Linked DNA regions of Oreochromis niloticus. The protein of the gene in region 1 purifies or fractionates together with the protein of each later gene. This does not show direct contact. Links are inferred from orthologs where the notes say so. Each region holds a gene or a part of one and is shown in the gene's direction. Other genes may lie near its edges. The genes, in order: akap1b, prkar2b and prkacab.

Region 1 (10,086 bases):
AACCCACATCTCTGGAGCAATCATTTCCTGGGCCCTCAGATGAAGTAAGCCTGGTCAGCCAGCTATTGCTGTCCTCTCTCTCCGGCAGTCATCCTGTATGATGATTGATGGGTCCTTCTTATCCTCTCTAGCACTGTGGAGGATACAGGAGTCCCCTCAAAGTCTTTTCTCTGTGTTTCTTAATTCTGGTACTCAAGATGAACTCAAGCTGAAGCCCTCTTGTCTTTCCAGCTGCATGTTCTTCTTGTAGCATTGGTTTTTGCCTCAGCTTGATGCTCAAGTTGGCGTCATGCCGGGTGCACCTTCTCTTGGCTGTAGCTGATTTCTGTTGCATTTGGGTCTTACTTCTTAAAGGGTTTTGGATTCTGGGCTGTTTGGGTGTTAAAGGTTCATTAGTTAGTTACACGCCCAGGAACACCAAGATCTTATCATGCCTGTGGAGTTTGGTAGAGATAGGATGAGATTTCTTTAAGTTATAGCAAATATGAAGTTGATTAGATAAAATCCCTAGAAGTTTGCAAAAGTACAACGTCTGGGAAGTGCAAAATCAAAAGTTTCAACTAAAAATATTGCAGTTTTATGGGGTTTTTTGAGCATGTTAAAAAGACAATTTTTGAGGAAAATAATAGTAACAATAAACGGAGCTATTACAATTGGGCATGACTTCACATACGTGATTTAATACAGGGTTTAACTTTAAACTTCAAAATAATTTCATAACATTTTCTTCTTTTCTGTGTTATTTAGTAAAATAGAAAATAAATTTCCCATTTCACATTTGAACATTCACTATGGATATAACACGTTTCACTTTATGTAATTCTACTTCAGTTAGATTGGTCTCTAGCATATTCTCACATAACCATTTATTTGAACATAATCCCTTTTTAAGTGAAACACAGGAATACTTTCTTTACTTTTTGTCTTTAAAACTCGGCCCATTTCTCAATATGCGTATTTGCGTGTACTTGCGTTGTGATACGTCATCAGTCGCAGACCAAGTACTGTTCCAAGTACGCTCAAAATGCCCGGATGTGTTCTCGCTCCTCCCATTCTATGGAGCACGCATCGGTAGTGACGTGCAGCTAAATATCCCAGAATGCATTTCGTCCAAAACTCAAATGGCAGAGGAGAGCGGGTAAAAAGTTTGCGATATTACAGTTTCTGTGACACAAAATAAACTTTTAAGAGATCTTCAAGCGAGAATGTTGATGTGTAAACTTCAAACCCACCAGCTTGATACCTGACGGTGAGGTCAAGGTTCACTACAGCTGACGAGAACGCCTGACCCCCGGCACATTGTTTTCAAAAAATGGGAGGAAATGAAGCAACGTCGTACATATTTCCTACAGATATTGGTGAAACCATTTTTGGTACAGCTGACCTTACTTAGCAATTAAACGTGTGTTGTGTCTGATAACTCCCGCTTTGTGGAGAGGAGAGTGGTTCTTCTTTGGGGTTGGCAGGCTAGATAAACAATGGCGTGTTGCTGCCATCTACTGTTTACAACTTCCCAAGTTTTTTTCTAAATAAGCAAGCTAGCCACACAGTCTCAGGTCTCTATATTCTCCCATACAGGTTAGCACTGCATAAGTAATGTAACAGCTTTCCTTTTAAAAATATTGAAAACAGTTTCCCCAGTTTCTCCAAGTCTCTAAAAAGCTTTTCCCTGTGATGAACATGCTCCTTGCATTACATTAAGATGTCTCTAGGGTCAGGTCAGGTCTGGTTCTGTTCCTTAAATGTTAATAAACCTGCAGCTGAATCACTGTATATGATGCAGTATCATGCCTTTGGTACTCAACTCACTAGACAGCCCATAAAACTGCCATCACCTCTACTGTAAAGATTAAACATGCGATCTGTTATACACAAGCTTTTTTTAAACTCTCTTTTCACATATGTACACACTACACGCCACTCTGCTACTTATATGACCTTTGACCCTTCTGTATGAATTTGTAAATAGCCATTCCAAAGCTGTTCCATCCTTGAGTAAGCTATTTTTACGATATCTGCTGAGTTCTTTTTCCCGTTCTTGCTGAGTGCCTATAAGTTAACCTCAGGACCTGGAATGAGCCATGATGGTATGCCTGACCAGCAGACAGGAGGACACACATCCATATCAACAAATCCAATTTTTTCATGCCATGGATTTCAACTCCTCACTAAAGTTGGTTTTGACTTTCTTTGCTGATCCCAGTGCTAGCTCAGTTTTAACTAGAACTATTACATTTTGTCCTTTTATTTTTATTAAATACTTCAGCCCAAGCTTATATTTTCTCATTTTCAAAGGCATTTCACCCATTTCTATTAAAAGGAAGTGGAGTGGTGCAAAAATGTCCAGTGCTTTCCACCGAATTCTATCCAGCTTCTTGATCACTGAAGGGGCAGCTGATGCATATGCCATACAACCATTGTCAATGATAGATGTAATGCTGGCTCTTTATATCATCAACAATGATTCTGTACTGGCACCCCATTCAAACCCGGCTAGGCACCTTAGCACATTATCTTTTCACACTTTATGCAGATATTCTCAATATGGCTTTTCCAAGTCATTCTCTTATCCAACCACATTCCAAGAAAATTGAACAGCTTGACTCGCTCAAGGTCATTTCCATAGACTTGCAGATGTTTAGGTGGAACCTTCCTTTTATGTCCAAATATCATATACTTATTTTTATCAATAGATATTTTAAAGCCCCAATCATTAGCCCATGTAACCACATTCTCCAAAGCTTTCTGAATTTGAGAAAAAATATACAAAAGGAATCATCACTAGCAGACGTAACATTTATTTTTAATCCTAACTGGTCTCTGTTTATAGGTGCAACATAAACCTTTCTAGCTCTACTCACATTTTCCACCAGTTTAACAGCCTGTATCGATGATGGCAGCGGTGTCTTCTTGTTTGTGGTTTCTCAATGCTTCAATGAACCTCTTGGACGATACAGGAGGCCAAGAGGAAGCCCAAAAGTTTCTGTCTTACTGGACCTGTACAGGTCAAGAGGAGTGGTGTGCAGGTTTTCACCTTTACACCACTCCTCTTGTCCTCCTACACAATTTATCAAATCCAACATCTGTTATCCAAATCCAGTCCACTAGTTATAGTTAAACTGAAGAAACACTCCAACATTCCAACTACTTCCAAACTACACCACACACTGCTGACCAGCAACCAGGATTGTGTTTTTTGGTGATCTACCTTTTTAACTTGCTGTTTGGTGACCAACTTAATGGTTTTGTTATGTTTCCTCTCTTTTATAGATTTTAGCAGCTTGTCTGTCTCTTTTACTTTAATTATCCAGAGTTGGAACCAGGAAGCAGAGTTGATCACCATTTTGTCATCATTGAAATAAGCAACTATCACATAATAAGTGGCCACACAAAGCTAGTTATTAACTCTCTAAATTAACCCAGGGTTTCCCACTCTCTTGGCAGCATCTAATGAATATAAAATGGATGTTTCACATTGATATAACTCTTCTTCCACAGAAAATGATCCCATGAGTGCCACTTTCTTGTGCTTGACAAGTCGGTTCATATTCTGAATAGCAATTTTAAAAAGTGAACATTTAGATGTCAGATTTTATTTTGTGAGATGACTCTTTTGTGTAGGATTGGGTGACCACTCAGGACCACCTCCATCCTAACCACCACCTCTTCAACATCCTGCCCTCTGGAAAAAAGTTCAGATCCATCAGGTGCAAGACCAACAGACTAAAGAACAGCTTGTTCCCGTGGGCTGTCAGAACTCTTAATGCAAACTAAGAGTGCGTACAGACTTCTCCAACACATCCACTCTGACACTGCTGTTGATCATCTATGTGCAATATCTCAGTCTTTCCATGTTCTGTGCAATATTTTTGGCTCGTGCAATATTTGGGTCCCAGTAGAACTACCATCTCCACCCTAAATTACCATAGCCCCTCCACCCTTTTTTATTTATTATATTATATAACTGCCCTTGTATACAGACCCACAATTTTTCTGTTTCAATGTTTCTTACACATACACCATGTATATAGTTTCACTCACATATATGTATACATATACATTGCTTTTTATTTTATTTTATTTATTTATTTATATTTTTTTCCCCTTGTTGTACATTGTTTTCTCTTCTTACTTTTGCACCTTTGTGGTCCAGCTACCCAATTTTGCTGTGCAAGAAACTGCACAATGACAATAAAAAGCTCTAAGTCTCTAAGTCTAAGTTTCTCAATACTTTTAGCAGGAAAAATGGAAAATGGGTATAGTGATTTATTGAAACATGCAAGTGTATATGTATATGCATTATATAAGACAAAAACAGAGATTGTGCAATTCTAATTAGCTTGCAGGTCAGTATTAACATAACCCAAAGTCTATCAGGAAAGATTTATTGTAATTTATTTAAGCAGTCTGTTAGTAAAACTTTTTTTAATTTTGACATGTCATTTAGCTGACTGAAATTTGGAATTATCGAACTGAGCTGGTTAAAGTGTCTCTTACTTTGCTGAATGATTTGCATTTTACGACAAAAGGCATCTCCTGATTTTTTATATTCTTTGTTTGATTGGCTGTTTTTGTTCACTCAGCCTATATTTGGTATCTATGACAGTTAAGAGATGTTCTCCCAATTAATTTTTTCTTATACCACTGGAAAGCCTGTTTATTTCTCCTTGATTGGTGCCACAGTTGTAACTAAAATGCATTTGTGGGTTGAGGATGTGGGTTGTATCCATGAAAACTTGCAAAGTGTTCTCTGCCAATGACTAATTACCTTAATTGTTGTGCTAAGTTTATTAAAAGTATATTTCTTTTTCTAAAAAAATATAAAACAATCTTGTGATCAAAACCTTTGTTCAATTTATTACTAAACATGTAAACAAACTTTACTAAGCAATGAAATGAACACAAAATAATTATACTTAAACTTATGTCAAGTATAAATGGGTTTCAACAGGGCATATAACAAAAGCCTTTGCACTTGTTTTTACTGCACTACAAACTTAAAGTATGTTTGAAAAAACAACAACAACAACAACAACAAAGAAAACCAAAATACAGTACTAATGCCTTAAAAGGAAATACTGCCCAGATAGTGAGGTACCTTCAGAGAGAGTTTGTACTCTGTGAGTGCTCAATGTTTGGTTTACTTTGAAAAGCAGTTTTGTGAGACTGGTCAGGTGTGTCTAAGTAAGGGCAGTTGATTTGGGCACAATGACTCTCTCTCGCTCTCAGCTTAAATAACAGAGGGATTTGCATTTTTGATTGGAAAGGGATTTATGACATTTTAAGGCTGGGTCAATGCCTTGAGCTCCTTGTCTTGATGTTAGAACTGTTTCTGAGCAGCTTTGCTGTGTGGAGGGGTACATTGTCCTGTTGGAGCTGTAGGGTTCTTGGTCTGCAATGCAAAGTGATATAAATAAATAAATAAATGCCATTATTTAAGGTTGTCCAGCAGAAAATTGTATAACAAAGACATGCACCAATTTAATTTTACTTATCACACAAGGTGCAAATCCTTCTGTTTGTAAAGTTGTGCTACTTCTAACGTGACCTTTGCCTTAATCTGATGACATTCATTTATATAGTAAAATTATATGAAAACGGTGCTCTGTCCCATCTGTACTCAAAAACGAATGTTATTTTTTCCCCATTTTTATAGTAGAGGTGACCAGGATGATATTAAATCTACCTATGAAACTGCATGAGCTTAACAGAAGAAACGTTTACCTTTACTGCATTCTCAGTTGACGCAAGACTCCAAGCGGCTTAAACTTTAGAGTATCGCGAGATTTGATCAGCTGTTATGTCTGCGTGTTTTTTTCCTCTTTTTTTTTTTAAGACTGGTACTGGTCTGTCAAACACGTGGGGAGGAGAGTGTGACTTTCCACTAGCGTACGTTTCAAAAAAGCTCACGTTGTTAGTGTTGCTATCATCGTTGCGGTACCGAGGACCCAAAAACATTGTAAGTAAAATAATTAGTCCGGGAAGGAAATGGCACACTGAAAAAAGAGACTGTTAGCTTTTAGTTTTCTATGTATTGCATGCATGGTTCGGTTTCATTCACATTTATGTGAGTATATTTTAGGGGAAAAGACATTCACTTGCATTTCTAGTGTTCTCTGTGGGTCGTCAAATGTTTATTGTGTCACCATGTGATCCCATGTCATTGAAAAACTAGCCTACAAAGCAACTCCTCCTAACTTGCCATTCAGAACAGCACACGTAGCTTCTGTTGTAGAAGTTACATTTTCGCACTTGCTTTGTATTGTTGAGCTGTGCACGTGCCAACGTAGGAGCATTGGTTCTTGGATAATAATAAATGCATTTTGGCCCAGAGTTGGGAGTCATTGTCGCCAGGCCGGCTAGCAGGCTAGCATGAAGGTCTAAGGCCCATGCGGGGCATTGGCAGTCTTTGGCTTCAAATGTCCTTTAACCCTGCATCGATTAGAGATACCCCCTCGTTGGTGCAGTTGGGTATAGTTAACGACTACGTATCACACAGCTTTATGTTGTGGCCCAGTACGTCTGTAAGTCGGGGATATGAAACTCTGAAGTGGCTTTAATAATGTAGCCACATACGAACGTAGTCTAAAAATAATACAGTGCAGGGAACATGCCATTAGCTTATCTTTTTTCATGTTTAGCTAGCGTTAATTTTCATAAACGTCAAAGCCACTGTGGTTGCTATGTAGCTAACTTCATGCTTTGTATCCTGCACTGCGGCCTCCTTAAACAGCCATGCTGTATTTCGTGTTTGCATTAGGTCACAGCCATCTCTGCTACAGGGTTTCATCCCAGACGGTGCCAAACTCCCTATATGCATTTGTCGTATGGGATTTAACATCTTATTGGCTGCAGGTTTTTCAGTTTAGTACGGGGCATAACTTCGCTGTTGGATATTTTTTTAGAATCTGAAAAATTCGGCATTAAAAAAGACCTGGCAGCGTAAAGTAAGTTAAAGTTCTTATAAATTGCTGCCTGCTCATAAGCAGGGTCTAAGTATATATTTTTGCGCTTCTTTCGAAGGTTATTTAGGTTTTAGTTGGCTAATGCAAAGAACTGTGAGGGATCCCCTTATAAAGACAAAATGAATCGCTTGAGTCACAAGTGAAAATGTTATTTTGGTATGCACAGTGAATTCATTTTTCCTTACCATATAGTCATGTAACGTTAAACTTCGAGAATTATATATGAAATTCACATTGTGGCCTTTGTACTTCCTAGCTAGCTAATTGTGTTAGCCGGTCTGTGGCGATGGAGTGCATGACCACACGCCACGGTTTTGTTTTGTTCTTTTGTTTTTTTTGTGTGTGTGTTTGTTTTTATGCTGGGACAGAAAGCATCGCCACTAGCATTATAGGGAACTACACAATGTCCTACAGTTGTAGTATTAAGGCATAGCTAGCTGAACGCTTTTAGCATTTATTGAGTCGTTGCTGAAAGACGGCTGGGGTGTTGAGGCGCACCTTCTGTACATCACTGGAGCCTGGGTCACATGTAAAGTGGACTGGTATGTGGCTGTAGCAACTATCAACGCCACCTAAGTTTACTAAGTTGTTAGTAGCAGCATGGCTCCTGTAAGGTCTTGACTTTTGCCCATAGGGTATGCAAGACTTGACAGCATATTGTATTAATATCCCGGTCAGTCTGCAATTCGGTTTGTTTACATAAAATAATTTGGTTTTCATTTATTTAAAAACAGTGTCACATTCATTGTTAATTTGTCGTAGTGTTGATGGTGAGTCCCAAGGTTCATTTAACATGAATGATGGTGATTAAAGGGATATGAGAAAATGTATGACATGAAGAATAAAGTTTAAACGCAAACAGGTGGGAATTGAGTGACACTGAACTTGTTGGTATGCAGGTATTTTGAGGCCGCATAATAATTTTACACTAGTCTGTCTGTGCTGGCATGATGTAAGATTTAGAAGGTGTAAAATAGTTTAATCATTCCTGTTTGAACAGCCAAGGTCACAGTAAGAGATGATCTTACAGTTTATAGACAGTCTTGACTATAAGGCCAGGAAAGGAACCAATAAAGACTTGTCTGACCTGTAAGGATAGCTCTTCATTTTACAGCTTGTTGCTTCCATTGTGACCTTTATATGGTGAGTGTGTTGTCCTTGGATTTAACAGCAACACACACAAGCTACACATGAAGTCTGGGAGCTTCATGTGTTGCATCTTTGCTGGTCCTTTCCGGACAGATCTTAAATGTTACTCCTGGGATCTGCTGGAACCACTCGCCCAGTTTGGGAGTCACTGCTGTAAGTGCTCTGATTGCCACTGGGACTGCTGTTGCCTTTACCCATCACTTATTCTCTAGCTCCTCTCTCAGCCATTGGCATTTCTCAAGCTTTACATATTAATTTTTCCTGATTTTTGCTTTCATTTGGTACAGTTACATGTACTACTATGGCTTTATTCCTCTGCTTGTCCACTAGTAATATTTTAGTTGTTTAGCCATCACCAGTTTGTGTGAAATCCCACAGGATTTAGCTTGGTCATTTTCAACCACCCTGAGGGGCATATTCCGTTTTGACCTTGGGACTTCCGGGCCATACTCTGCACACATGTTCCTGTATAGTGTGCCAGCCACCTTGTTACTGGGTTTCATGCGAGTTCCATACATTATCCAGGTAGCAGAGGTCACTAACGTTTGCTCTATTCCATTGTCTATATCCATAGCCAGTCTTGTTAAAGATTTCAGTGATTTGCTGTCTTTTTTTTCTTTTTTTCTTTTTTTTTTATACCCAAATTAAATAAAATAAAGGAACCCCCCCCCCCCCCCCAAATCCACCTTATATAAATAGGTGATGCTGAGGATTTCCACTTTAACAGCATTAGCTTTCTGGCCAAGTTGTGAATGCCATTAAGTTCTTTTTAAAAGGAGAGAGAGTTAGTCAAAAACCCTGCTTTCAAAACAAAGCTATCAGCACTCGCAGCATTATCCCTTTCAGTTACATTGAACAAATATGAAAGATTTCTGACTGAAATCTTTGCAGAAAGGGACAGGTCGAAAACATGAAGTTTCCAAATATGTTACTTTGGAGCTTTGACTGCTTCTTCAAGGTCAAATAAGGTCAAATTTTCATTATGTCAACCTTTCATAAAATGCTTCATCTTTAAAACTATGCTTAAAATTCTACTTCTGTGTTTGTATTGGCAACATTTAGAAAATTATACTGGTAAATGGGAAATCTAAATATCACATAGTTTTGATCCAACACATTTGACCTCTGATGTCTTTTTTTTAAAGATTGATCCCCAAAATGCATTTTATCCAGGGGTGGGAATTGGCACCTACCACTGGGCAAATGCAGGTAAATTTATGAAGTGGCATGTAAATCTGAACAATAGACAAGCCACCATGGCTTGTCTATTGTTGTGTTTTTGTTTGTTTGTTTGTTTGTTTGTTTTTCTGTTAATTTTTAACAGAAAAAAAAAATGTTCAATTTGTACTCCTGACCTGTCTGGGGCAGCAATGCGCTTGGGTTGCTGCTAGTTTTTATTACCACTATTCATCGGCAGCACGTTTTAAAAACCTTTGCCCATGCAACAGCACATTAATGACTAACATTGTATTGTGGTTGGATTCTCAGTTGTTCTTCTGACTGAAGTTTCGTCCATTTACAACATCCTGCCATGCAATTGCATTTGTCGATAACCACTGGGAATGGTCACGTTAACTTTTATGGACTGGGAAAAAAAGTTAGTGGTTGTCCTCCAGCTTCACTGTGTGTATATTATTCTAACCATAGCTGTGTACCTAGCAACAACATAGCACATCATTATATACCAGCTAGTTGACTTCAGTAACCCTACAAACATCATTACTGTTTAGTTTTCCAACATAAATGAAGACAGAAGTGATAGCAGAGCTGTACTTTTAGTTTTTCAGAAATCCCTCTGTCAGAACATGGTATATCATCTTTAGATGCCAGTAAGTTAGCTCGCTAGTTTCTAACTTCAGACTCCGTTAAAATTCATAAATTCTGTTTTGGTGGATGCCTGGATGTTAAATTTTTACACCTGGTAGAGCAGCCACACTGATCATTTTGTTAAAGATGAAAGAATTTAGACAGT
Region 2 (10,675 bases), on another chromosome or scaffold:
AGATGCTGAGGCAGCAGAGGAACCAGAGAAAGAGGCTTCTGAAGATGAGGCTGAAGTAGAGGAAGAAGAAGGAGAGGACAAAGACAAACCAAAGACAAAGAAGGTATGTTAATGAAGAAATGGTGGTTGAGGACTATATTGACATATGTGTGATCATTAACAGTTTTTTATGGTGGGTTAAAGTCCCATTGAGTCATTAAGATTTATGGACTATTTTACTCAGAAAGCAGTCTGTGAAAATATGTCTGATCTAAAATGTATATTTTTCAAAAGTTATATAATTGTGTGTGATGTGTAGGTTGAGAAGACTGTGTGGGACTGGGAACTGATGAATGATATCAAGCCCATCTGGCAGAGGCCGGCTAAGGAGGTTGAGGAAGATGAGTACAAGGCTTTCTACAAGACCTTCTCAAAGGTAGGCACACAACCAGTAATACTTCGTCAAACCGGCTCTGTAGGCTGGTATACTAATGTCAACTTTACCCATCTTTCATCTTCCAACAGGACAATGATGACCCTATGGCTCACATCCACTTCACAGCTGAGGGTGAGGTCACCTTTAAGTCCATCCTGTTTGTGCCCACTTCAGCTCCCCGTGGGCTGTTTGACGAGTATGGCTCCAAGAAGAACGATTACATCAAGGTGTGTAGCCTAAGCAATATTTAGCATCAGATTTATTCAACTTTTTCAGCAATACCCCAAAAACTGAGTTTCAAAGTAAATGCCTTCCATTCGCAGCTGTTTGTCAGGAGAGTTTTCATCACAGACGACTTCAATGACATGATGCCCAAGTACCTGAACTTCATCAAGGGAGTGGTGAGTTATTTTTTAACTCTTATTCGACGATCTCATGCTAATGTTATGTGCTTGGTCTCTGCATTAATATCACCTGCACCGTGATTAAGGGAAACTTTATTTTGTTAGGTTGACTCTGACGACCTTCCTCTGAATGTGTCCAGAGAAACTCTGCAGCAGCACAAACTGCTCAAGGTGAGCTCAACATGCAGCCCTGTTCGCTTCCCATTCCATCATTTAGTCATCATTAACCAATTAAGCCACTGATTAAAATGGATAATGAAGCAACAAAGCAATTTTTAATGAGCGCAAATCATAAAGTGCTTTCAGGAATAACAGGGGGCACTAGAATATGGTTAAATTAAAGCATAAGTTAAAGATTCTGAATAACTAACACTAGATTTAATGCAGTATGAAATGGTCATACCTATTTTATCTTTTTCAGGTTATCCGCAAGAAGCTGGTCCGTAAGACTCTGGACATGATTAAGAAGATTGCAGAGGAACAGTACAACGACAAGTTCTGGAAGGAGTTTGGCACCAACATCAAGCTGGGTGTGATTGAGGATCACTCCAACAGGACCCGTCTTGCTAAGCTGCTGCGCTTCCAAACCTCCAACAGTGAAACAGACCTGTCCAGCCTGGAGCAGTATGTGGAGCGCATGAAGGAGAAGCAGGATAAGATCTATTTCATGGCTGGCACCAGCAGGAAAGAGGTGAGTGAATGTTTTTGGCCAGGTGAAAGAAGTGTAAACTATCCTACACTAGCTGAAATTCTCATGTCTCTTGTTCTTCCATCCGCTACAGGCTGAGTCCTCTCCCTTCGTTGAGAGGCTGCTGAAGAAGGGCTATGAGGTCATCTACCTGACAGAGCCTGTGGATGAGTACTGCATCCAGGCATTGCCAGAGTTTGATGGAAAACGCTTCCAGAACGTGGCCAAGGAAGGTGTCAAATTTGACGAGAGTGAAAAGGCCAAGGAGAAGAGGGAGGCCCTGGAGAAGGAGTTCGAACCTCTCACAACTTGGCTGAAGGACAAAGCTCTAAAGGATAAGGTAATGCTGTGATATTAAAAGAATGGGAAATGAGTGCCAGCTGTATAAGCAGTTAATTTTGGCTATAGCTGCCCATTTATGTCTGTTGCAACATTTAATGCATTGCTGTTTATTCCCCAACAGATTGAGAAGGCTGTTCTCTCTCAGAGGCTAACCAACTCACCCTGCGCCTTGGTTGCCAGTCAGTATGGCTGGTCAGGAAACATGGAGAGGATCATGAAGGCACAGGCCTACCAGACAGGAAAGGACATTTCCACAAAGTGAGTGTTAATCCCGTGCTGATCTTTGCATGTCCATTTATTACTCCACCTGCTATTGCTTTGCTCTAAATCTGTATTTCTGTTTAATCTTTCCAGTTACTATGCCAGCCAGAAGAAAACACTAGAACTCAACCCCAAACATCCTCTTGTCAAGCAGTTGCTTAACAGAGTCAATGTGAGTTTAACCACTGTCATTTTTGTACATCTGTACTATAGTAATTGTCCTTTACTAAGATTACCATCAAATTACTTAGTAAATGTAGTTCATTACATGAATAAACTTAAAATGGACCAATCAGAGCACATAGTTGAACAGTTTCTTTTCCTCACACCCCCCAGGCCGATGCTGAGGACCAGACTGCATCAGATCTGGCTGTGGTTCTGTTTGAGACAGCCACACTGCGCTCAGGATACCAGCTCGTTGATACAAAAGCTTATGGAGACAGAATAGAGCGCATGCTCCGACTCAGCTTGAATGTACCACTAGATGAACAGGCAAGTAACTGCAGCTCTTGTATGGTATACTAATTTGCATAGCAGATGTTTCAGTTTTGGTATCTGTGTCTGAACTAATGGTTCCTCTTCCATCAGTGACCTTTTTTGAGTTTAGTCCTGTCTCTGCTTTTTAAATCTTTGTAAAATGTTAAGTATTTTTGCAGTGATATTTAAGACTGTAGGATATATTTAATGATCATGACTCTTTTATAGATTGAAGAAGAACCAGAGGAGGAGCCTGAGGAACCAGCAGAAGATGACTCTGAAGATAAAGAGGAGACTGTGGATGAGGATGATGATGAAGAAACGGTGAGAACACTTCACACACTCTTGCTTGAGGAGAATGTAAAATTAAGAATCTAGATGATGGAGTGCTTTACTCTTCTGACTTTTCTCTAATCACTCTTACAGACAAAAGACAAGGATGAACTGTGAAGCACTGAAGGGAAGAGCGTGTAACAGTGGAGCTGGAAAATGGACTTAAGTCTCTGTTTCAGTGCCACCGTGGCCACATTATTTCTGGGTGGGGTCCCTGGGTTGGGGTTTTTTAAAGCGAATATTTGTTTTTGTTTCTTTTGTATTACATTCCTCATGACTGTAAATTTGTTAATATTTAACTGACCTGTTTATGGAAAGATGTGATCCTGTCTATTGATCAAATAAATGTTTCGTGGAAAAAATGCTTGCATCGTTTCTGGTGTTTTATTCAAAACTGAAAGAGTTGCTTTCAGACAGGTCTTGGCTACTATTTTCTTTTTCAGTCATCTTAATCCCAACATATCAAAAGTACAGTCTGGCTGTAGCTTATAGTGTAATACATCTACCCATACATAGGGTGCCATGACATTTTACAGTTTGTTTTCAGACTGAAATGATGTAAAGAGTCATGGTTACATGAGCTGTTCTACATTTAGGATACTTTACTGTTCTTTTCGGTTGCACATTTATGCAAATTTAATGAGGAAGGATGCATTTAAAAAAAAAAAAATATTAAGTGCACTGAGGGTGACACCCCTGTGGTTTCTCTACAGCAACCCTGGGGAGATGGCTTACTGGTAAGATGTCATGAAGACTGATGCATCTTGTACAGGATGTCTTCATTGAGCCATGCCTTTTTTTTTTTTTCTTCTTTTTTTTTTTCTTTACTGAAAGTGAGCAGAACTAGGTGCCTAGCCTTAATTGTTGGATATAGTGATTTTGACTATAATAATATTGTACACTAAATGCTAAATCTAATAAAATCTACTTGTGTGGGTTTATCTCAGAATCTGTTATGATGACCTAAACATGCAGACCACAGGCTTGTCAAGGTTTACAGGAAAGCAATGAAACCCACAAGGATGTGGAACAGCCAGTAGATGCAAGAGATAAAACTTGTTTGGGGTTTGTTTGTTTGTTTGTGGGGTTTTTTGGCGGGGGGGCGTCTTCACCACTGAATTAATTATCTAATTTTACACAGTAAGCTTATTTTACCCAAGAAATACATTTGTTCCAACACACTCAGGAAAGACGGCAACTTAATGGCACTTGAAACAGGAAACAACATCAACTGTATCCTAGTTTAACAATACATTGTAATGTAGTGGGATGTCCAGTAGGTGGCACTAATACATTCAAAATGGGTTCTAGCAGCCAATGAATTAAAGGACGCACTCAATCATTACGTCATTAAATTGACTTAAGAGGTTTCAGCTTCACATTTTTGAGATGAAGCCATAGAATAAAAACATGGAGCCCTTTCGAAGCTGATCTCGCCCCACTTCACTTGGCAAGTATTATTTAAGTATTGCAAAAAGACATGTTTCCCCCCCCCATTTCTTTAGTTGAAATGCACGTGAAAGAATGCCATTGTAGAATAAAAGAAAAAAATGCAGGCCTAAAAAAATCTACATCTGATGAACAGTATCTTGAAGTTGTTTTAAAAGAAAACTGTTCTTTTCTTTATATATATATATGTGTGTGTATATATATATGTATATGTATATATATGTATATGTATATATATGTATGTTGTATATCAACAGAGAATTCGCTGTTTAAGTGTAGTTAACAATTACACCAATGCAAGCTCTACTGGTCTGTTGTGAAGCTTAAAGTAGAAACCGTCTTCAGGATCTATGGTTCAGTGAACAGGGCTGACGCACAGTGTGTGTGTTTTGTGCAGCTGACTCTTACAGTAGATGAAATGATGGTGTTGTGCTGTATTCAGATGTGTGTGTGTGGGGGTGTGTGTGTGTGTGTGGGGGGGTGTCTTATAGTTCACAGTGGTCTGGAATAGTGAGTTTGAAAGCTAACAGCTAAACTGCAGCAGTGGAGCATTACAGGTCACTCCATCGACATGCTCCCATTCGCCGGAGTGAGAAATGCTGCGCCTTTCTTAATAAAGGGTGACAGATATGGGCCACAGCAGGGGGAGGGGTGTCATAGTGGAGCCACAGAGGAATGATAACCATGGCAGATAATAGCTGTGCTCCTTTAGCACAGTTATTATCTGTTTCCTCAAGTGGTTCCCTCAAACTAACCTTCTCTCTGCTGGAAGCCTTGAAATTCCAACACAATATGAGAAGGGATTTTTGGGGGGGGGGGGGGGATTTCTCACACTGTAGTAGTTGTGCCACCACATGCCATGACTAAAACTCACCTGAGGTCACCCAACCTCAGCAAGTGGGCAGACTTCCCACTTGCTCTGCATTCCAGTTTAACCCTTACCCCCTTGTTTTGCTCTACTTCCCCTTCCTCTCTGGATTAGCTGTTTGACAGAATGTAGTTTTGCAGGCTTGTGAACTCATGTCACTCCTACAAATGTTTCTGGTACGAGAAAGTGTCAACTAAATTTGAACTCATATTGTGGATATGCATTTTTGTGGCTCAGTCATATTGTAACCCACAGCAGAGCATCATTAGTTCATCTCTTGATAGATGTCCATATGAAGTCTATGATTAATGAGCTTTAGTTTGAGACCTAGACTTATTTTTTCTGTCTGAGCCGTTTTTCTAATGTACTAAATGTTCAGCTACACAAGTCCGTGATATCACAGGGGAACGTTTGATTCTGAAATGAAACTTCCATCTGGCGTGGTCAAAGTGTTCTGACAGGTCCCATGACATTAAAATATCCAGCACATTTATTATTATTTTCTCCCTATGGAACAAGAAATGAGCCTCCAAACTCTCTAAACTATCATAAACGATCTTTTCTTATTAGCTCCTTTAAAAAAAAGAAGCCTAAATAAAAATACAGAACTAATCTTTATTGAGCTGTAGGTCTTTACAGAGGTCTTAGGTTTTAATGTTTACCTGTTTAAATATGAATTACATGTGGCAAAACAAAAAAATAGATACATTTCCCTCAGATTCAGTGTTTATCATTGCATGGTAGTACCTTTTTGTCTTTAGCCTTGCTATGTCTACTGCTGTTGTTTTTTTCTTTTTAAATAATATGCGATGTCTTCTTATTTAATCATATTTTAAATCGTTTAGGGTAAGTGTGAGTGAACAACCACGGAAAACATACATGCCAGACCGCAGGATATTTGATCTAATCTCTGTTAGTGAAAAATCGATCTATGACTGAAAGAGCCTTCCCCAGGGCTTCTCTTTCCCATCATTTGTATTTTGCGACTGACTGCAGTTTCTGCGCCGCTGCTGCTCATACGCAATCTCTGGATAGGTGGTTGCCATGGATTCCTGGGTCACATGCGTGGGTTTCCTAGCCAGAAGCAGCAGAAGATGTTCGGACCAAAAATCCAGAGCCATTTTCATTCAAGAAAAAGAGAGGATCCGCTGTGGAGGGCTTGCTGAGCGGGTGGTCTGACTACACACCCGTCTGCTGATTTCGGCATCTTTAAAAAAAAGCCAACCAAAAAACACGACGGGAAGAAAACCTGATCTGGGTGCTTTTGAATCACTGAAATTCGCAGCAAACCGGTTTTGTCCACATCCATAGACTGATAACAGGAATGAGTATAGAAATTCCTGAAGGACTGACGGAGCTGTTACAGAGCTTTACCGTGGAAGTGTTGAGGAATCAGCCCAGGGACTTGCTCGAGTTTGCGCTACAGTATTTCACCCAGCTTAAGGAGAACGAGACCAAAGAGGCCTCATTTGGCAATGACCAAAATTCGGCCCCGAGACTTGGGAAAGCGGTCAATTTCATTGACGAAGCCATGCAGATCGATTCGGAAAACGGAGAGGAGGACGACGACGATGACGAGGAATTCATAGGTGGGCTAACACATTCACCGTGCGTGTTTCTGTCAGGGGGATGCTGAACGTGACTCGAGATGCTTTGCTTTGAATTGTGAGCATGTATGGATGGATGGATGGCTGCACCGCGGCTGTTCTGTGGGAGAGAATGAGAAACCACATCGAGCGCGCTGATGCTGCCGCCATACATTTACAACGGCTCTGTCATTTGCCATATATGGTCACCGAGGCTCAATGCTGCTTCACGAACGTGTTTTGCTCTTCACGTTTCTGCTCAGAGAATAGCACCTGCACACTGCGGCTTCTACGTTTGCTTTATAAATAATTATGATAGTAATAAAAACATCTGGACCGTTTGAATGTTTTCTGTCTCAGGTGCAGGCCCGGTGGGCCTCCCCTTCATATGTACCCCCCCCCAAAAAAGACAAAGCTTGTAAAACATAAAGGGCTACAGCTTCAGCTGTTATATAGATGCAGGCAGTACACAATCTGCCGTCGACAGGCCTACATTTCCTGAAGTATTTAACACAGTGACTGCTGCTAGAGTGTAATGAGGTGCAGCCAGAAGCAACCCAGAGCTCTGACACAGCATCCCAATGAGTGGTGGCTTCTGCAAGACTGGCTGCAATGGTTACATAAGGAGAAATGCCTCACATGCAGTTGTTAAACGTCTGTGTTTTGGGTCATTGTTGTGCCCCCCCAACCAACCAACCAACCACCATTAATGCCTCCCATATTTCAACGAGATTCCCCGGTCAGCACTGGTTGGCAGGCCATTAATGGATGAGACCTCCTATCTAATGTATATTTCATACTGACCTATTGTGTAGCAGCTTGGCACTGTTTTTCTCATTTAAATTTGATTCAAAGGCTAAAATCCACTTCAAAGCAGCTGTCCCCCATTCAGCTTTTACTCAGATGAATATAGACCCTAATGAGAATGCTCCACTTGTGCTGTAGATGTGTAGATGTAGAAATACAACAGCCTCAAACCTTCCTAGCAATAACAGTTTGTGATGGATGGATATCTTTTATGGTGAAATCTAACATGCTTTTTTAAAAAAAACCCAACCCAGATATATATCTTTCTTTTTCTTTTCTCCAGCCCCTGTGATAAACAGATTCATCCGAAGAGCATCAGGTGAGTTGCCATCTTCCTGTTGTGTCAAGGAGGGAAACTCTGGACAGTGTCTGAGCTGAAAACATTAAATAAAGCCTTCTGTGACACATGACTAGCGAGGCTGCGTCAGATTGGTTTCAGTACAAGTGATACTTAAGTATTTTTCCATCTGTCTTTTGTTACCGTCTTCCACTTATTGTAATCGTGTTGATTTGTTACAGCTTGTGAAGCCACTTTGTCTTGAACCCGTCAGTGAGTAATGTAGCAATAGTAAAGTTGCGGCTTCACATAACTTTGTTGTGTTTGGATAGCTGCTTGGTCTGCCTTTCTGAATGGAAAGAATTATTTATTAATAACTTAGGTATTTAACTTACCTCTTATCACTTCAGACGGGGAACGAACATCTTCTACTTAGTACACTGTAAAGCTTGCACAGGAAATGAAAACAAATTTAATTAAGTTAACATTAAGCTGGCCACTTACTATATTCCACTTTAGCCTGTGCCAAGTTGAAAGTTTTTTATACCACTACCCCATCTTTCTGTTAACATATAGGAAGGAAATGCGGTAAGAGTGCTGTCATCCATCACCGCATATTCCTGTACTCAAGATGAGAAAAGTTGTTTTTATTGAAAGATTTATTGCCTGAAATGGTCCTGAATCATCCCTGGAATTTGCCTTTTTTGTTTGACTGGGATGAAGTCTGTGCCGTGGGCCACCTGAAGATGAACATTTGTTTTTCAGATGTTATGTAAGGTGTCGTTATTCATCTAAAAGTTCATTTAAAAAAAAAAAAGTGAAGCTTTTTCAAATAAAGGCCTGGTAGACAGTTCCACTGGAAGTGAGCTCTCAGAGACCCTAGAGACGCTGGTATACTTCAGCATTATAATTCATGAACGGGACGAAACAAGCAATTAATAAGGGATTAATTAACAATTCTATTTACAAACACCTTTGACATCTACTGTCGCTAATAACAAGAAAACTGCCCCAGAATTGAAAACACTGTATGGACAAAATAACTGCTGCTCATCAATAAGAGAAATGTAAATGTGATTTGTGTGTCTGTGTCATGCAGTGTGTGCTGAAGCATTCAATCCTGACGAAGATGATGAGGATAAAGAGCCAAGGGTAAACTGCATCCATCCAGTGATTATTTTATTTACACAATTGGTTTAACTGTTCAGAGGTTATAAGTCTGATTCGTGATTTATGTTTTAGGTCACTCACCCCAAAACTGATGAGCAGAGACAGAGACTACAGGAAGCATGTAGGGACATTCTTCTGTTCAAGAATTTGGATCCTGTGAGTGGATTATTCCATAAGCTCTTCTCTGGTTTGTGCCCTGCCATATCCTAAATTAAACAAAGGGAAACATGGCCCAAGGCCAGCAAATTTCTTTCTTTTTTTTTTTTTTGCTGCATGCCCAGTGCACCGTGCCTGATTTTTTTAGAGATGGTTATTTATCTATTTGTTTTGGAAGCTCGAAAACGAACTCTGAGTGCATTCAGCGTGATTCTTTCACTGTCTGACTGCTGTTTTTCCCCCCACCATGACAGGAAGAGATGTCTCAGGTGCTGGATGCCATGTTCGAGAAGTTCTGCACGGAAGGGGAACATATCATTGATCAAGATGATGACGGGGACAACTTCTATGTTATCGAAAGGTGGGCTTAACTTACTCCTGAATTTCAAACTGCTTTATAGGTTGTTATTTAACTTAAAAAAGTGAACACAGTTGCTAAATAATTGCTGAAATCATTGTTTTGTGCTAACTAAAGATGTTTTTTCCCCCGCTTTCTTTCCATTCAGTGGCACGTTTAACATTTTCGTGAAGGTTGATGGCACGGAAAAGTTGGTGGGCTGCTATGACAACCGAGGCAGCTTTGGAGAACTGGCGCTGATGTACAACACCCCCAGGGCAGCCACAATAATCGCCACTTCACCTGGAGCCCTTTGGTGCCTAGTGAGTAAACCATTACACCGCACCCCCCTGCAATAGCACAGTTGGATGCTTAATCAGGTTTTTATAGCGTGCTGTGCTGTCAGCTGTCATGATTTAAGTAAACGGGGAGTTTATCTGTGACGGTGTGGAAACCATCATTAGGTGAACACAAATTAAGGCGAAAGCAGCTGTTTTACCTCCAGGCTCTGTTCGTTTTATTGTTACATTTCAGCATGGATGCTATTTTGCTTAAGCAAAACCCGCAAAACATGAAACTGTTTTTATAACAGCAGCTGCTTTCAGTATCCAGTTGCAGCCTGACTTATTTCTGAGAAGCTGCTGTTTATTAGTGACTATGAGAGCCATCGCTGAACTGTGGGTAACGTCTCAGTTATGTCCTCTCAGTGCAAGCTGGGTAGGTTGCTGCCATGTCCTGTGCTGACCTGAGGGATTGTAGGTTGTTTTCTTTGCGTCTCTAATCTCAAACAGGAAGCCCTTTTTGACCAATAATTGGTTTAGGTCAATGAGGAAGAGTGCTGCCAAAAATGGATCCAGTCAAACAGTCGACCCTTTATTCATGGCCCTTGTTTATTTTGTAAACAAGCGATAGGATATGAACTTGAAGTGGGTCCAACTTTAGCAACCTTTAAAACATGAGGTTCCAGCCTTGCTTGTGCCTTTGAGTGAGGGAAAAGGTTTGTCAGCTATAGGGCGCCCTCTGCAGTCACATATGTTTCCTGCTTGCAAAAGCTTGCAGTATGTAACTGCAAGCTTTTGTTGACCATGCTGTCTGTGACATTATT
Region 3 (10,436 bases), on another chromosome or scaffold:
TAGCACAATGGACTTGTGAACTTTAAGTGGCATTGTATTCATTGCTGCTTTGCTGTGAACATTTGGTATCTATAATACTGAAACTTAAGTTTCATCACCTTTCCGATTTTTAAAAACTCTACTTTCCTGACAACAAAATTTAAGTATAAGCTTCAGTGTGAATTTATTTTTACGTATTATATCTTGGGCCATTTTTACTAGTACTTGACACAGCACCCTTAACATTTATTTGATTTTAAAATTAATGGATAAACAGATATTAAATGTAGAATGTACTGAACTGTCTTAAAATTAAGCCTACCAATAGCATCATGCTACAACTTCCAAGTTTAGTCTCCTGTTTTCTGCCTAATTAACGTTCATTTAAAAGTGAGCCCAAATAATATTTCCAAATGCACATTAGGAGCAAGTGGAGTTTCAAATTTTGTCAGCACCTCAAACACATTGACTTGCTTTTTGTCTCTCTTATATTCTGGTGCTAGTTGGACTGAGCCACAAATCTTGTTTTTTTTTTTTTTTGTTTGTTTTTCTTTCATTACCAAATCCAGTTATTAATATCCCACAACAACATTTGCGCCATTAAACATTTATTCAAATCAATAAATAGTGGAAAAACTTGTGGTTTTTATTGAGACTGATGCTGTGTTGGTTATATCTGGCCAGTGCTACAGGTAAATTTTATATGCATCACTAATACAAGGTGAATTAGAACAAAAAAGGACAACCATGAAACATTTTCTATGTAAATTGGATAAAGTGACCCTTTTAGTGAAAGTATCATTCACAATGCCCTATTTTACAGCTGTGTGTGTGTGTGTGTGTGTGTGTAAAATAAAAAAGTAGCTTGTGCATGTCAAACTATAATTATTAATTTAAAAAGGTAACATTAACCTACCTTGTAATAATAATTTAAAAACAAACCTCCCTATTTGTCCTCTGTGTACTGGCAGACCTGGAATGGAAGATCATTTATGTGGGTTCAGCTGAGAGTGAGGAGTACGACCAGGTTTTGGACTCTGTTTTAGTGGGCCCTGTACCAGCTGGCAGACACATGTTTGTGTTTCAGGTGAGTCCTCTCGGTGAGCTTTTATCGTGTAGTGCTTAACATCCAGTTTTATTGAAAACAAACCCTATTGAGCAGTATTCAAAGCAGACATACCAGACCGCACTGTCCCAGCATCTTTTTTCAAAGCTTTTCTGAGAGGAAACTGAGAGGTTCCCAGACCAGCCAAGAGACATCATGGCTGGGTTCTCACTGGGATCAGTGCATGTTGCTACAACACCTGATGCAGGAGACGCAGAGATGTAGTGGTTCTACTCTAAGCCCAGCTACCCTTTGGAGGATTGTCTCTGCTAGTATTTGTGGTCTACTTCTGTCAGTCTCTACCTTTTGTCTATAGGGTGAAGGTAGAGATGTCAATCGAACGCAACAAATAATATAGATCTGTCATTCTCCTGCTCCACTTTACCCTTGTCTCTAAACAAGATCCCAAGACAGATGAGCTTCTCCATGTGAGGCAGCATCCCCTTTTCCCTTATCCCCTTTTCTGACTAAGCTTGAACTTGGTGATGCTAATTGTCAACCATGTCTCTCTACAGTACTGTGCAAGCCTATACTAAGTCAAACCTCATTTCTTTATATTTTGCTTTCAAGGAGTCAAGACTTATCATTTTTGTGGTCTTGAACAATAGTTCTCCAAAGTCTCCTGACCTTTCAGTTTTTCTTTGGACATTGGCTACTTTTTTCCTCACTCATTTTCAATCTAGCCCTTGTACCTAACCATTTTCAAAGGATTTTTTTTCTTACAGTCACTTAACAATGACCTATGAACCATTCAAGCGTAAAAGAAAAATGGCACGTAACGATGAGAAATTTCAGGAAGTGGTGTGAACTTTAAGTGCAGAAAAGTACTGTCAGATTTTTCATCTGATGTATGACGGCTTTTGAGAGGAAAGGAAGCCATGGACAAGCACCTTAGCTTGTTTTGTCAAGAAGTGAATTGGAGGTTCTTGTCCAAGCCTCCTTCTCCTCTTGTTTGGATTATTGAATGGAGTTTTCTGTTCTGACTCAAGCATCTATTAATTCCCTTCAGTCTGTCCAAAATGCACCTGTGAGACTCTTAACTCACTCTCAAAAGGCTTCATATGTCAGTCCACTTCTAACATTTTTGCACTGGTTTTCTGTCAGGTTAGAGTACAGTTTTAAAATTTTGGTTTTTCATCTCCATTATCAAAGTGCTCCACCCCTATTCTCCAGGCCGAGTTCGTAGGTCCTCAGAAGCATTCATGTAATTTCATATATCCTTTTGAAAACTAAGGGTAGACTGTGGCTTCCAAACCTTAGCTCCAAAACTTTGGAACAGCTTCCCACTCATTCTTTGCACCTTCCAGTCAGTGGCATCCTTTAAACGGCAGCTTAAAATGCATCTGTTCAGACGGGCATTTGGGTTATGTTTGTGTTTTTGCTCAGTTCATGTGTATCCATTTTGCCTTTTTTAACCTCTATAAAGCACTTTGAGTGTTCCATGTCTTCAAAATTGTTATAAAAGTGATTTTCACATACTCCTTTTGCACAATATCATATATAATGTATTTGATATCCCTGGTTTGGTTAACCAGTTACTGTTTCATTTATAGGATAATTACTTAGAATTGATCTGATTTCTTCTCTGTGCTCATTTACCCTATCAGGCTGACGCTCCTAACACAGGGCTGATTCCAGAAAGCGATGCTGTAGGAGTGACCGTAGTCCTTATAACCTGCACCTACCGTGGACAGGAGTTCATCCGCATCGGCTATTATGTCAACAATGAATACACGGACCCTGAACTACGAGAAAACCCACCTCTCAAACCAGATTACTCTCAGGTAACATACACAAGTACACCAATGACCATCATGAATAATACTGAGGGAAGCTGTTTCCAGCTGTCTGCATTTACTGTAATTAATCACTGAAGTGTACCCATGGTGCTAATTTATTTTATTTTATTCAGATATGACCACATTACATCAGCATTAGATGGTATTAAGTGTAGAATATGGGCCATATTTGTGGAAAAGTACTATAAATGGCTCTCTGCTGCCCTCTTGTGCCCGGAAATGTACAATTACAGATGACTGTAGCATCCTGTACGAAATAAAAGTAGAATTAACTGGGGATTATTTAGCACTGTGTTTTTGTTTTATTTGGTCTTGCATTGTTTTAAAAGAATGCACTAGTTCCGGTGGAAAAAAGTGTATTTCATGCTTCCTTGTACCAGTATCTACATTAGCATTAAAATCATTACCTTGTGCTTTATTCTCTTTACACTGGTCTTTTCCTTCTACAAATCCAACATAAAACCAACTATTCATTGTATTTAATTCAAAGCTATCCCATGTTCTGAGGGGAAATGTGCACTCCTAAGGATGGCTGTCATAACTAACTATTGAGCTCCCTAATTAGTAATCTAATTATGTCCTGATGTAAAAACATTAGCAGTCCACCCCTATTTCTAACAAGTTCTCATCATTGCAGCTCCAGAGGAATATTTTGGCCTCGAATCCTCGTGTCACCCGTTTTCATATCAACTGGGAGGGCTTGGCAGACAAGATGGAAGACAGTGAGAATGTTGACCCGTCCCCCAACATCAGTGGCATGTTCCCTCCATCCTGTATACCAGGAAAGATGCCACATCTAGGAGTGATGCCAGATAACTCCATGGACTGCATGTAAGAGGCATCAAATTAATGCAATGGATAAGGAGCCCTTCTTATCTATACACGCCCACATTGCAAACACACATTTATACAAGGAGGCCATGGATGTTTCTGTATAACATGTGGACTTTAACAGAAAGCACAGGACACCACAGCATAGACATTATCTTTTTATAAAGCACTCAAAAATGGGATTGGTCTGGAATTGTTACCACCTTTGGTTCCTCCTCTTTACGCACTTCCTTTCAACACACACACACACAGGTGTGCACAGTCAGATTTGCCTTAATTTATTGTATTTCTGTATAAGATTATATTTCATGCCTGGCTGAAAGAAGTGCAGATCATCAGTGCAGGGCCAGGTCGCTTCAACAGCCCTGAAACGTGTGGGACAAACTCAAGATTCTGATACCCATGTTGTTCATTTTGTCCTTTTCTGCACAGATCAACTAGTGCTATGTGATGGGAAGGATGTAGCACCTAGCTGCTTATAGTAGAGCACTTCATTCTTTGTAAGATTTGTCTCTTGTGACACCTACTGGGGGGAGGGAATTGGGTTTAAATTATGGGCCGTGTTTATGATATTGTGGCATCAAGTGGCTTTATTCGCATTAACATGTTTTTCCCCAGGGTTATCCAGATTACTCTGTAAACCTGCTTCTGTGAATAGGCCCCAGTTCACCTACTGTTACATAAAACGACTATATGAGCAAAACATGTAGGTAATGATGAAGGATGCCAAATTGCATTGTGTGTGTGTGTGTGTGTGTGTGGATGATTTAGGCTTGCTGTAAATAATGTTTTCCCTGTTCTTATTTTGTCTTCAAAACAAGAAGGCATGTTTTCATTTTGTACTTACTATACATTCTCAGCTTCAGTATTTGTAACAACAGTGATGGGGTTAATAAAGTTTTTTTTTTTTTTTTTTTGACCTTGTCGTGTTTCCTGTTAATCAGAACATGTTACATACGGCTGCTTTCCACCTTGACTTGTGTGGAAGGAAGCACTGCAACAGCAGAGAGACTCAGCACGTTGGCTTGCTCCTCGCCCTCCCATCTCTGGCTCCTTTCTGTTTTCCGATTTCATTCATAAAATGCAGCACCACCATTTTCACTCTAGCCTCATGTTGCTAGGCAACTACTGCACAAAAGGAAAGGGGGGCCTGTCTGTGTTCTCTTGCCCATTTTATCTTAGTTGAAGGGACCAACTCCCCCATCCATCCATCTGTTACCTCTGTCCACTTCTTACATGTCTGCACATTTGACCAGTGTATTTTCATATATTCATATTTAGCGGTAAAACCCATATGCAGCTTCAATTGTCCTTTAACAGCAGCCTGTAGCAGCGCTCAAATGATTCGTAGGTTTTAGGGGTCATGTAGATTTAAATCTTAAATTTTATTTAATTTTTTTTTTTTATAAATGTCTGCCATTAACTTGTGAAGCATTTGACATCATTGTTCTCATCATCATGTCTTTTGTGGTGAGACTGTGATATGTAAGTTACAACCATGTATAAGCAGAATTAGTGATTTGGTTGTTTGAGTCCGTTTTACATAACCGTGGTGGTGTCGTGTGAGCCCAAATGATGGTGTCAAACCCTGCAGCAGCTGAGAGATCTCGTATTCATAGAATGGATGTTTTTTCATACCATGAGTTTTTTTTCTTTTTTTTAAATTACCATCACAAGGTGAAATTGTCATTGAAATTAGATATTCAGATGCAAATCCATGTGAAACCGAGCCTTTTGAAGGTCCTGGTAATAAAAGGACTCTCGGTCATATGCTAGGCTAAGCCTGCAGGTGATCCAGGTGCTGGGGTGGTTGTGCTGTGTTGAAGGAGGCAGTTGGAGGGTTGACTGTAAAACATTCAGAAAGACGGTATCTCTTCGAGTGTTTAGAACGACCGTCTTGTTTCCTATTATTCTCACTAAATACACTCATCATTTAACGCACGGCGGTCTGCGAAATGTTTAGAAGTCCTGCCAGCCCGACCGCGCCGCGCGTGCGTTAAATTCTGACCAACATTTCTAAAAATAGCTCGCGGTTGACGTCACTTGGCCAAACGTGTATCAGTCGCTTGGCGGCGGTGGGAGTGGGGGGCTGAAGAGGGGTTTTTTTTCTACCTGCCAATCGTTACTCACAGCCAATAGACAACTTCACATTCGCCGAGATTCCCACGGTTCGCCTGCATCGAGCCAATGGAGGACGGAAACCAGGAAAAGTGGGCGGGTATGTCGTCGGGAGGAAAATAATCGGTGACGTTCCTCTCACTCGCTTTGTGTAGGGCGGTAGGATGGTGCCGCTCTTGATGGATTGCGAAGAGCCAATCAGTGCCTTCCGTGGGATACCGGCATACATAGGTTGCCAATCCGCGGGTTGGTTGCAGCTGTCAATCAAAACCCGGTTCTGGCTAGTGGGCGGGACGTTCAGTCGACTGTAGTTCCGTCATCTCGCTCGTCTCCGAGGCTACGGGGGGCCAATGTTGATTTGGGTGAATTCCCGTCGTCGTCGGACCCCGCCGAGGTTTAATTTTTAAAAGCTGGGTTTAGTAACGAAAAGTGGCGGCTCTTGGGCTGAGAATATCGCGTCCCCGCCTCTGGTGTCGTTTTTCTTTAGGCTGGGGAGAGGTGGGGAGCCGGGGGGGCTCGTTCGGCGGGGGCTGCAAGGAGGGACAGGCGAAGACTGGATCCTCCGTGTTCAGGCCATCTGCGCCGAGCTCGGCCTTACGGTCCAGTGAAGCCCCAACGACCGAGATACCTCAAAGGTATCCTCCCCGTGGATTTGAGCTATATATCGGTCGCCCGTTGCTGATGACTGAGTGAGTGAGCCCGCTTTACCATCTCGTCTCGCCCTGGCACCGCATCAGCATCTGCCAGGCTATTAAAGACCAAGACCTCGGAGTTAACGCTTGGTGCTTTTGGATTTAGAAAATACCGATCAGACCTAATCGAGATTAGACCGGCTTGAGAAGGCTGCAGGGCGGCCAAAAAGCCACGGATCTCCCGTTGACAGGTTGTCATCATGGGCAACGCGCCCACGGCCAGGAAGGGCAGCGAGATGGAAAGCGGTGGGTACCATCGCCTGTACGCTACACATAACACATTGCTCTGTTCCAGCCTCACGAAATCACCAGAGACGGTGTGACACAGCGGCTATGTTAGCTTCAGTTAACATTCCATGCAGCGGCCTATTTCTGCTGTCTGATTTAAAAAGATCCACTCATACTGCTCAGTCCTTAAATAAGCCTCTGCCAGGATAGCTTTCAAGAGCCCAAATTACGCAGCTACATTTCAACTAACTAACCTCATAATATAGAGATAGATGAATAGGTGCTCAGTAGTAGTGGTCCGTTTTGAACAGAGCTTTTTCTGTGGATTCAGTTGATGCTGCTGTATGATAAAGCAGGTGGTAGTACAGTTTCCATAGCCAAATCACTTCACGAGGTGCAAAACAACCAACAGCTATTGTAAGCTGCAAGAATCTTGGCAACTTCACATCCTCTTGTACTCAAATCTTGGCGAGATCACAACAAGCTATGTGTCAGATATTTCCCAAACACACAGTGCCTGTTGCTCTCTGGAAAGAGATGCTGCTGAAAGTGTGGGGGCTATTTTGTTTGGTGGACCCCCTTAAGATTTGCAGATTGACACTGAGCTAGTCTGATTGTCTGCTGTACTGTAAGTCCAAATACAGAAGGATGAATGTGCTCATGTCTGAGGTTATTCTGTTGTGTGTGGGTTTTTTTTAAACTTATCATTTTTGGAATAGCAATTTATTAGAAATGATGTGTAAAGGTTTATTTAGTTATGTATGTGTCACAAACTGAAGTAAATCTGAATACTGTGATGGATCTTTTTTTAAGAAAATCAAAGAAACCGGTATGCCAAAAGGACTGCTTGACATTTAAATCAAAACATCTAAGTATATGGCATAGCTACTTGGTATAGATGCATCCTGGTCACTGAGCAGCTGAGTTGTTTAGTTAAGGTGAGAATGGAAAGTGTTGATATTTAATAGGTGAACAAGTGTTTTGAAATGTGTCCTGGAATTTGAGCTTTTAAATGAGTATACTTGTTGATGAGATTTCAAGTTCAGGTATTTTTTTCTGCACTTGAGAATATTCTGCATGTAGTTTTCAGACTATCAGTCATATCTGGACTAATTGCTGTACATTTAGAAAAATCCCAACACAGCCTGAATTACCTTACAAACAGATAAGATGATCAGTGTGCGTCTCAAAACTTTCGACACATTGGCTAATCATCCATGTAGCCTCTGGGTCTTTGTGAGTAATAGTTATGAGCAGGTGGTTTTACGATGGATATGAATAAAATTTGATTTAATTAACAATTTTTAGTCAGACTCTGTGCTGTTGACTTCAGACAATAAAGTATGTGTTCTATTTCTTTAGTTTGCTGTTTTTTCACCTTCTGTATACACACCGATGCCCCACTAAAGCCTTTCTTATGTAAACACTGGTGTGTGTTTTTTCCACAGTCAAGGAATTCCTTGCTAAAGCCAAAGAGGACTTCCTCAAAAAGTGGGAGAATCCTGCACAGGTTAGTGTGTGCATGCACTTCTGCCCACTAAGCTTCAGAAATATGATACACAGGATATATTGTTTGTAATTTAATCCTAACTTTGTTTGCATGTTAGAAAAACAGAATTTTCAATCTAATTCTTTATGGCCAAAGAAATATATACATTATTTCTGTGTGTGTTGCTGCTTTTGAAAATGCCAATCATAGCTACTGAAATTTCACTTGTTTCATGTCTTTATTGTTGATTTGTTCAGTATTACCAGCTATCACTTTATGCAAATGACAGCCAATTCTTTTGAAAATTTTGATATATTCAGATGGCGGTATAAATAAATTGGTTTGTAAATAGCATCAGTTTTATTGTTTATTGGCTATTGGTTAGTGATGATGCTACTGTCTGACTGTTTTTAAAATGCAAGTTACTGTTTCAAGTAAACTGTGACATAAAACAACTTCATATGTTTTGTCATATTTAATGCTGCAAATTAAAATTCAATATACATTTTTCATATTGTATGCAGTATGAGTAAGAAAGTTAGAAAATAACCCGTAGGGCAATGTCAACTGTATCAACCCTAAAGCTATAAAAAAAATGTTGTTTTAGATCACCTAATATTCTTCGTAGACATTAATTAAACCATTAAATCTGTAAATCTGTATCAACATTGTTTGATTTATACTGTATATAATTTTCTCCATATGTTTTGGGACACTGGCTTATTTTTTATCCTTTATTAAGCTTATTGAAGTTAAATGATGAATGTGGGGTTAAAAAATATACAGAATTTTTATTCAGTTTTATTTATTATTTTCAGATTGTCAAATGGACAAATTAACACAATGATAAAAATGGCCCATTGCAATACTGTAATACTGAGCAAAGCTCACCAGTACTGCATTTTTTGAAATGGATCTCAAGGATAGCTTGTTTCACTTGAAATGAGAGCTCTTTCAAACACATGTTGTGGCTTCATAGCTCCCAAATGCATGTGCCACACTTCAAATCATCTCCAAAACTTTTTTAAAAAAATCTACTTAGGAAGAAGTAATGAAGAAACAACCTACAGCTGTCAGTGAAACAGGTTATGTAGCAATGATCCAGTTTCATTTGAGCTGCGCAAACTATGGCACTGGGTATAAAAATTGCAGTGAAGGCAATATTTTTGTTTTGACTTTTGAGATAAAACTGAATATCTAAACCTAAACCCATATTTATCATATATGTATGCAATGAAAGTCTATGTCATTATCTAAAAATATATAAGTGTTAAGCACGATTTGATTCTATGTAGAAAAACATCAATTATTTATGATAAATAAGTTTCTAGGACCATCTCAGCATCCTGAGAAACAGTTCAGGTACCACAAACATGAGTTATAGTTTTTTCTTTATTGTTCTTTAAATTTACACTGTATCATGTATGCACATGTGTATTACTTTCTATTAAGAAATTATAAACCATACATACCAAATATGTTAATTTATACATATATTATCTATTGCATATTTGTTTATAACATTTGCGAAGAATATAGACAATAAAAATACAAGAATTAGTGGTAAATGTGAGCACACGAGTAGCTGAAAATAAAAACTCGCTACCAGCAACATGACCCTAAATATCCCATTTTCACAAAAATCAGCTAACCGTTTTTGTTTTGTCTGTTCAGAACACTGCTTGCCTGGAGCAGTTTGAGAGGTTGAAAACCCTGGGCACGGGCTCATTTGGTCGTGTTATGCTGGTGAAGCACAGAGAAACGGGACAACATTATGCGATGAAGATCCTCAACAAGCAGAAGGTCAGTCTGGGTCAGGGGTCACCAGAATCACAGAGGGATTGGGGTGTTTAAATGCGCTCCCGTCCAATTTTTAGTTAGTCTTCCCACAGGATTGTCATAGAAAACAGAAATCTAATTGATGTGAATACTGCACTCGGAAGATTTTATTCTTTTATGGATTTTGTTAAAGGCCCTTCAAATACAGGTGAAATTGTTATCTGAACCCACTTGTGCTGAAAGCAGGGATTAGTTGTAGTGACAGAGCGGAGGTTGTCTTTACGTGGATAACACCAGAGTAATTTTAAGATTCAGTTAAAATAAATCTTTGACTTAATCTGTGAGTAAGATGATAATTAATCCACAATATAATTATATTATGGCTTAATTATCATCTTATTGATAAAACACTTAGA

What was found.
Region 2: the proteins of akap1b (region 1) and prkar2b purify together in Homo sapiens (affinity purification with mass spectrometry; 3 studies listed by BioGRID and IntAct, counting the BioPlex papers as one, with this or other methods). This does not show direct contact. The link is inferred for Oreochromis niloticus from reciprocal best matches to the Homo sapiens genes AKAP1 and PRKAR2B.
Region 3: the proteins of akap1b (region 1) and prkacab purify together in Homo sapiens (affinity purification with mass spectrometry; 8 studies listed by BioGRID and IntAct, with this or other methods). This does not show direct contact. The link is inferred for Oreochromis niloticus from reciprocal best matches to the Homo sapiens genes AKAP1 and PRKACA.

The regions. Positions count from the first base shown.
Region 1 is NC_031979.2:5,261,481-5,271,566, reverse strand, and holds the start of akap1b (A kinase (PRKA) anchor protein 1b), read left to right. Parts: upstream 1-5,806; 5' UTR 5,807-5,959; intron 5,960-10,086.
Region 2 is NC_031972.2:48,754,708-48,765,382, forward strand, and holds the start of prkar2b (cAMP-dependent protein kinase type II-beta regulatory subunit), read left to right. Parts: upstream 1-6,266; 5' UTR 6,267-6,561; coding exon 6,562-6,826; intron 6,827-7,913; coding exon 7,914-7,949; intron 7,950-9,006; coding exon 9,007-9,059; intron 9,060-9,149; coding exon 9,150-9,233; intron 9,234-9,487; coding exon 9,488-9,594; intron 9,595-9,739; coding exon 9,740-9,893; intron 9,894-10,675. Other genes in the region: hsp90b1 (endoplasmin), read left to right, coding at 1-103, 299-415, 505-642, 739-816, 925-990, 1,241-1,510, 1,602-1,847, 1,971-2,107 and 4 more. UniProt on the Homo sapiens protein: Regulatory subunit of the cAMP-dependent protein kinases involved in cAMP signaling in cells. Type II regulatory chains mediate membrane association by binding to anchoring proteins, including the MAP2 kinase.
Region 3 is NC_031971.2:31,064,859-31,075,294, reverse strand, and holds the start of prkacab (cAMP-dependent protein kinase catalytic subunit alpha), read left to right. Parts: upstream 1-5,969; 5' UTR 5,970-6,724; coding exon 6,725-6,770; intron 6,771-8,200; coding exon 8,201-8,262; intron 8,263-9,915; coding exon 9,916-10,044; intron 10,045-10,436. Other genes in the region: asf1bb (histone chaperone asf1b-B), read left to right, coding at 951-1,066, 2,692-2,868, 3,521-3,718.